2 linked regions of the Caenorhabditis elegans genome follow. The protein of the gene in region 1 interacts with the protein of each later gene in a pairwise test. Each region holds a gene or a part of one and is shown on either strand. Other genes may lie near its edges.

Region 1 (3,755 bases):
AAATCAAACAAAATTTATTATAGTAATTTGGAAATTAGAAGATTGATTAGAAAAATAATTTTTATAACGATTTTGACATTGAGAGTTTTTGATTGAGAAGTGATTAAAAGAAAGAATTTATGGGCGCTGGGCGGTTTCTTATAAAACTACCTAATTCAAACATTCCTCTTTTCTGTCACAGGCAGAGGGTCTCCTGAGACCTAAAAAACGGGTGGGCGCTCCACGAAGAAGACGCCGAAAAAAAAAAACAATTTCCCCGGGCGTCGTCGTTGTCGTTGTCCCTGCCTCTGTCTCCTCACGCTTCTTCCATGATTCATAGGGCTCCTTCTCCTTTTTGCTTTGCTTTTTCGCGATTTCTCAGTTTTTTGTCCCGTTTGATGCGTTCCGTATAATATAGAAACGTTGCTTTTTATCCAACAAAACTTTTACATTTTTGTACCAAAAATCCGACAGATTAGCCTATATGGATTAAAGATAAGCTGAGAGTCGGCTGGTATGCTAACTTGATTACCAGCATGCAATAGGATAAAAAATATTGTTCAGTTCTCCCTGTTCCTATTTCAATTTACGTCATATGCCAAAGACCAAAGGCCACGGGTGGTGTAGAGCAAGAGTCCGAGGGGAAATGCCCCGTTGTAATTGGGCGATAACATGAAGACACCCTCGATTTCATCGATAGGTCATTTTCACATTTTCACATTGTGATATTGATTTCTGAACGTTTAGTTTAGTTTATTATCATCACTTGTTTCTCTCGCATGCAAAAAGGTTTACAAACCCGCCTAGAAACCGCATAGGGAGGGGGAAGAGGCGAGAGAAAAGTTAGCATTCGTAGGTATTAAATGCATTTTCTAAAAAATAGGGTTTGAACAACAAATAATTGCTGTTTTTTGCTTGTACTTAAAATGGGCTCGAATTAGCATTCGAAATTCAAAAAAGACCAACAATTGATAGATTCACCAGTTTTGCTAAAGTTTCCAAGTTGCAGAGAATGAAAATTATATATATATTTTTTAATGGAATTATCATTTTTATTGATTGTTTGGTTCACATTATTTAGTTGATTCAAGTGTGTTAAAAGCCGATAAGTACTGAATTTCAATTATGTTTGGTAACCTATCAACTTTAAATGCACCCTTATTAACAAAAAAACGTGAGATAAATTATAAAAATATGCAATACAAATGATACTTTAATGCAGTTAATTTGCAACGCAGAAAAGTGTTTCCCAAATTTTAAACGCCCCCTCGAACGGAATAGCTTATTTATTTTTTGAGAAGTTCATTTGAGTACATTTCGAGTCTATACATGCAAACAATTCAAAACCGTATACATCAAAATTATTTCTATACATTTGTAGCTGCTTGTAACTCTATATGAATTAAACAAAAAAATCTCAAATCAAATTCGTCCGTTTCCGCGACATATTGTAACCGTTGATCTCCTATCAAAAGAGGAAATTCCCTTTATCTTTAAATTATAGTTTCCGGTCTCAGTACTTGCGCGACGACGTTTTTCATTCTGCTAATTATCACCATCAATCATCATATTTACTTTCCGACCATCTGTGTGATCAAAGTGATGAACTGAACTTGTCTTCAAATTTCAACAAATCAATTATCTGATTTTTCTCTTTTTCTCTTTTTCTTTTCTCTCTTTTCTCGTTCTCTCGCTCAACCAAGTTTGGGTATCAATTTTCTTTTCTTGCTCCTCCTCTCTGTTTTTTCCTTCTTCTCCACTTTTTCTTCCTTTTTTTGCTGCTCAATTCTGCTTTGATCTACTGGGAAGGCTGTGTGCCAAGATTTTCCAAAATGTTGTACACTGGCGGGTGTATCAGCATTCATTCGGTAACCGCTCATCTCGCTCTTTTCCGCGGCATCCCCCGTCAAAAGTCTGTTACCTTCCCCACCAAGTTTTCATCTCATTTCAAACGTGTGTTTTCTGCTATTTTTCTCGCATTTTTGTCTCTTTTGTTTGTTTAAAACAAGAAATGACTGAAAATTATGAACAATTATTCAGGTGACATTGTTTTTATGTCGGGTGGAAACGAAGAGGATCAGTTGGCACAATGCCAGGCCTATGTGCAACGACACAACATTCAGCAGCTTGTCAAAGAAGCAATTGGTGAGTTTTTGAAAATCTAGCAAAATAATAACACGAAAGTAAGAATACGATTTTTCCAGTTGTTCTGTGCATACACAAACCCGACAACCCGGTTCTCTTCTTGAAGGATCATTTTGAAAAACTCAACGAACAACGAGCACAGGTTAGTTGAGTTGCAGAGAATTTAGAAATTGAAAAAAAAAATATTTTCAACATAAAAGTGAGAAGAATGACAGAACCAGTTCGAAATTATGACCAGAAAAAGTATTCAAATTTGCTGACACTGAAAGAGTATTGACGTGGTACGCCAAAAAAGTTAATTGTTGCGTTTTGAAACGGTTCTTCTTATCGGAAAACGTAGTGTTGCATAAGCGTATTATAACGTTTTGAGTACAATTTGTGATGGGGGTTTTACAATTCTTCAGGATTTTTATTTAATTGTTCGTGTTTTCTGAACCATGAAACTCGGTTTCAGACTTTCAAATTTGAAATTCACATAGCTTTATAATTATATCATTGTTCTAGATCAGTGAAATTTGTTATTTTATTCTCATTCATAGTACCAAGTTTTTGAGGCATCGAAAATCTCGTTTGACTCGCTTCAAATATTTGAATATTTTATCCGGTTTTGTGGGAGCCAAGCGTCATGATTTTTTGTTTCGATCTTGTTTTTAATGAGATGCACTGCAAAAAAAAGCTTGAGAAAAAACTGGAAAATGCAAATTAGGTCAAACATCTTCCTGTGTCTTTTTCGTCATTCCTCCGCGTTTATGGCTCGAATCAATGAAAATGAAGCTTCACTTCGTTTTTTTTTTCGTCTTGTGTTGCTTCTTTTTTTCATAGAAAGCAAGCCTTGTGTATGTCGTTTTTCCGTCGGGGTCCTCTGGAGAAAGAGAAGAAAAAGAAGAAGAGGAAGAAGAAAAAGAGGCACTAGTTAGCTGGGAAAACGAAAGGATGAAAGAGAGCGGATAAGGCGTAACGAAAACGAAGAGAATTGAGAGAATGGGCCCTTTGAGACGAGTCCCAATGAGCCCTCCAGAGCTGTCCATCGAGCATCGAGCGCCCGCAGCCATTGGCTCAGCTGCCGAGCTCTTTTCCCTTTTTTTCGGGTCCGGTTTGTGAAGCGGAGAGAAAGTGACGAAGAATGAAGAAGGCCTCGGGGCAGATTTCTCTTGCTCTTCGTTGCTCTTCGGACGATCGCATTTTTCTTCTCCTTCTGCCGCTCCTTAATGCTCCATGCTTTTTGTTCTCCGTTGTTTTTTCAACACCCTCGCATTTTGTGTCTGGAATTTTTGTTTCGAAAATAATTGAAGTAGGTAGTATTTTCACAAAAATAACAAAAGTCAAAAGACTAGTCATAAATCTTTAGGAGGTCAGGTGAAAGAAAGGGAAGAGGAAACAGTAACAGTGACGACGAACCAAACATCATTGTCACGTTCTTTGAAGATGTGAAATTCTAGATTTAACCTTTTTTTTTCTCTGACACCTAATTTTTAAAATTCCAAAACATTTTGCTTTTTTTTCTGTCACAAATTTTAAACGCTTCAAACAAAAAACAACATTAGTCATAATCCAGGAAATATAAGGTATTACAAACTTTTTATGACGTCATCGTTACTTGCAACATTCTGAAAAGGTTCTCGAAACGATTA
Region 2 (3,352 bases), on another chromosome or scaffold:
AATGAGAAATTTGGCAGAAAAACTTCAAGGGAGGACGAATTTAGTGGATTGGTCTTGCCGCGCGTTATGAAAAATATTTTGTGTATGCGCCTTTAAATTTACAGTAGGAAGTTACTCTAGGAAGTTATCGAATTTTTAAGTGCATTTTTTTAATTTACTGGTTTAATCCTGGGAGTAACTAGAGAAAGAAAAACAAAAATAAGAATTCAAGATTTAAAAAAAATTTCGAGACCATAAATACTCACTTCTCAAACTTGCTCTGAAATTTTTAGGAATCCCATCGAATGATCCAGTTTTTGGTAACATTTTTACACGATTGAAAGAGCTCAACGCTTCTCAAAACAGTAGAGTGACCGAAGTAATGGTCAGTGCTCTGAGACTTAAGCTCAATGAGCTCCTCCTCGGACGAAAAGTTTGCTCGAAAAGTGTCCAATGCTGCTGGTCACTTTGCTTTTCGTGTTCGCAAATAAAAAGTCATATCTGCGTCTCTCGATTTTCTTCACTCTTCCCTTATGTTGTACTTTTTCTTCCCAATAACACTTCCGTTTTGGACACAAAAACTATGCATAAGTGAGATGTGGCTTTATAAAACAAAATAACTTGTAGATGTACAAAAGATTAGAGAATCACATCATGAGGAAATATGAGAACAGATCGATTTGAATGGAAATTAATTTAAATTGAGGGATAATTGATAGAGATTCATTTGATGGCTTCAGTCTTCGAATTGACTTATCTTCTTCATGTAGGCACGTAGAGCGTCGGTTTCTTTTTTCATTCTCAAAAGTTGTTCAGATGATTTGTGATTCTAGAATTAAAAATAATAATAGAAACGCTGAATGTTTTCAGATAACAAAAAGCATTTCTCAGCTTCAAAATCTCCCCTATCTCACCGATTTAGTGTGCTGCCCCGGTTGGCACTTCCTCTGGAGCTCATCTCGCTCGGCTTGCATCTGCTCCAACGACTTCAGGTCACTATTTGCACAATCTGAATTTAAATTAATTAATTAATTATTATTATAAAACCAGAAAAGTTCCGAAAACCCACCGAATTCCAGTTCTTCTTTCTCGATTCTCAATTGTGCTATCTTTTTGCGATTCGTCTCGATTTGCTGCTCTTCGATGAGAACTTGAGCGAGTAGACGTTCGACTTGTGCATCTTTTCCTAGCAAACTATTCTCGAGGAATTGCTCAGCGTCTTTGAGAGCTTCGAGTGAGATTGCTTGTGTGTACAGCTCGAGGAGGCCTTCATTATGATTTGGATTCATTTTAGTACTGAAAATAAGTTTGAATTTTGTTTGAAAGCAGATTTTTATATTAAAAAAGCAATTTCAAGAAGAAAACAAGCGATAAATGCAAAATACGTCTTCAAAAAAAAAAGATAAACGCGCCAAAATAATAAATCGCTGTGAAAGTGCGCCGCAGTGTTGCGACGAAGACCACGCCCACATTCCCGTGCCGCACATTTTGCCCGACTTATCAATTTCTATTCTGTTTGCAAGTTTTTTTTTCCTCAACGAAATTATCGATTTTTATAATTTATTCGGTTTTTTATCGAATTTATATTCATTATTTTCAGGTAAAATGGCCACTGGAGCAGAGTTTCGGCAGGATATGCCTCCAAAAGGAGGCTATCGTGCATTCAACTTCCATCGCACTTTTCCGAAGCTTGTCTGGAGTCGTGAGTTGTTTTTTTTTGCTTTAAAATATTACTCGAAATGAAACAACGCAAAACGCCGAAAAAATTGAGAAGAATGCTGTGAAATACAGAATAAATATTTTGAAAAACGATTCTCAAGAAACTTTAAAGAATAAAAAGGCTTAGACGCTATTTATAAAAATAAAGCTGTTTGTCTTGAGCAATAAAATATAAATGACAGAGAACGTTTTTAGCATAATATTTTGGGATCAGTTTGCTATTTTGCTGTAATTTTTGATATTTCACACTATTTTCTATAAATAATATAACGCGAAGAATAAATACATTTTTATCAAATTTATTGTTGAAACAGTATTCTATTTTTAAGTTTCTGTCTATCAAATTTTGATTCAAAACACAAAACTTTCTTAAAATCAATCACAAATTTAAGCTGGAACCGTCGTCGCCGCCATTTTCGGAGCTACTGCCTACGGAGTCTATGCTGCTCTTGAAGGAAAGAAGAAGGACATGTAAGATAACTAGTGAATTTATCTCCAAAAATATCAAGTTTACAGCACTGAAAAGTTCGAAGATGTTGACATCAACAACGCAATGGAGCCGTTCTTGACTGCCGAGCGTGACAGATATTGGCTCAAATTGTTGGCCAAGAATCGTGCTCTGGAAGAGGAAATTATGAAGGATGTTCCAGGATGGAAGACTGGAACCTGGTACGGAGAGCCAGTGTACTTTACTCTCGGAGACAAGTGGTGGGATCCAACTGCTACTGAGGTAAAAAATTTATAACAATTCTGGAGCTTATCATATTTTTTAGGTATTCGTTCACTCAAGGGGATCAAATGAAACCCGTGATCATCTTTGGCGCCAACACTCTGAGTACGCTGGACCGAAATTCTACGATAATTGGTTCCCACAATGGATGTCCAAGTGGTTCTGGTAAATACCATTCATCTGGATGGATTGGCAAACTAATCTTCGAGTTCGTGTCCTGCTCTAGGCCCCTATCAATAAAACATCATTTTCTTTTTTTTTTTGTTTTCATTTTTAGACTGTTAGTTTTCGAAAATGAACGACAGGCCTTTGGTTTTTAAAAGTCGTGTTTGTGTATTGTTTTTCTCTTCTGGAATTTTATGAAATGAAGATGTAAATTTACGATAAAATTTCAAATGAAACGTTTCTTTTCAGAAATTTCATGTAAATAAATAGAGAAAAATGTACCGTAGTTGTTTCAAACTTAAAGGCGCAGGAACAAAAATTGAGCGGTGGGTCTCGCACCGAAAGTGTGAACTACGGTGTATCGTTCGCGCGGCCAACTCATTTTTGGTTTCACCTCAACCGTTATCGGATTTTTATTTGTTTTTCTGAACGTTCTATATTTTTCCTGTATTTTCAGCAAGATGCTTAATGTCGTAAAGTCGATAAACCGTGCGAAAACACCTGTTCGCACTTATATGAAGTGAGATAATTTATTTTCTAACGCCATTTCACTAATTTTATCAATTTTCAAAGAAAACAAGTGAGCGCAACCACCAATTTTGATGTCGTTGATCACACTTTTGACGCGGTTGTTGTGGGAGCAGGAGGAGCCGGTTTGAGAGCTGCGATGGGACTCTCCGAAGGTGGAATGAAAACTGCCGTCATTACGAAGCTTTTCCCCACAAGATCGCACACAGTCGCGGCTCAAGGAGGTGAGCC

What was found. Proteins that work in one complex are often made in the same cells at the same time.
Region 2: the proteins of kin-2 (region 1) and kbp-5 interact in a two-hybrid assay, tested with the Caenorhabditis elegans proteins (one large-scale study listed by BioGRID).

What each region holds. Positions count from the first base shown.
Region 1 is NC_003284.9:5,976,103-5,979,857, reverse strand, and holds the start of kin-2 (cAMP-dependent protein kinase regulatory subunit), read left to right. Parts: upstream 1-2,003; coding exon 2,004-2,124; intron 2,125-2,183; coding exon 2,184-2,266; intron 2,267-3,046; exon of another isoform or gene 3,047-3,185; intron 3,186-3,755. UniProt on the Caenorhabditis elegans protein: Controls the rhythmic contraction of enteric muscles probably by regulating G-protein coupled receptor aex-2-mediated calcium influx in GABAergic DVB neurons.
Region 2 is NC_003279.8:10,685,286-10,688,637, reverse strand, and holds kbp-5 (KNL (kinetochore null) Binding Protein), read right to left. Parts: upstream 1,276-3,352; 5' UTR 1,269-1,275; coding exon 1,049-1,268; intron 989-1,048; coding exon 894-988; intron 809-893; coding exon 716-808; 3' UTR 579-715; downstream 1-578. Other genes in the region: tag-272 (Structural protein), read right to left, coding at 246-306; ndua-13 (NADH dehydrogenase [ubiquinone] 1 alpha subcomplex subunit 13), read left to right, coding at 1,585-1,681, 2,091-2,169, 2,215-2,428, 2,472-2,597; sdha-2 (Succinate dehydrogenase [ubiquinone] flavoprotein subunit, mitochondrial), read left to right, coding at 3,055-3,113, 3,167-3,345.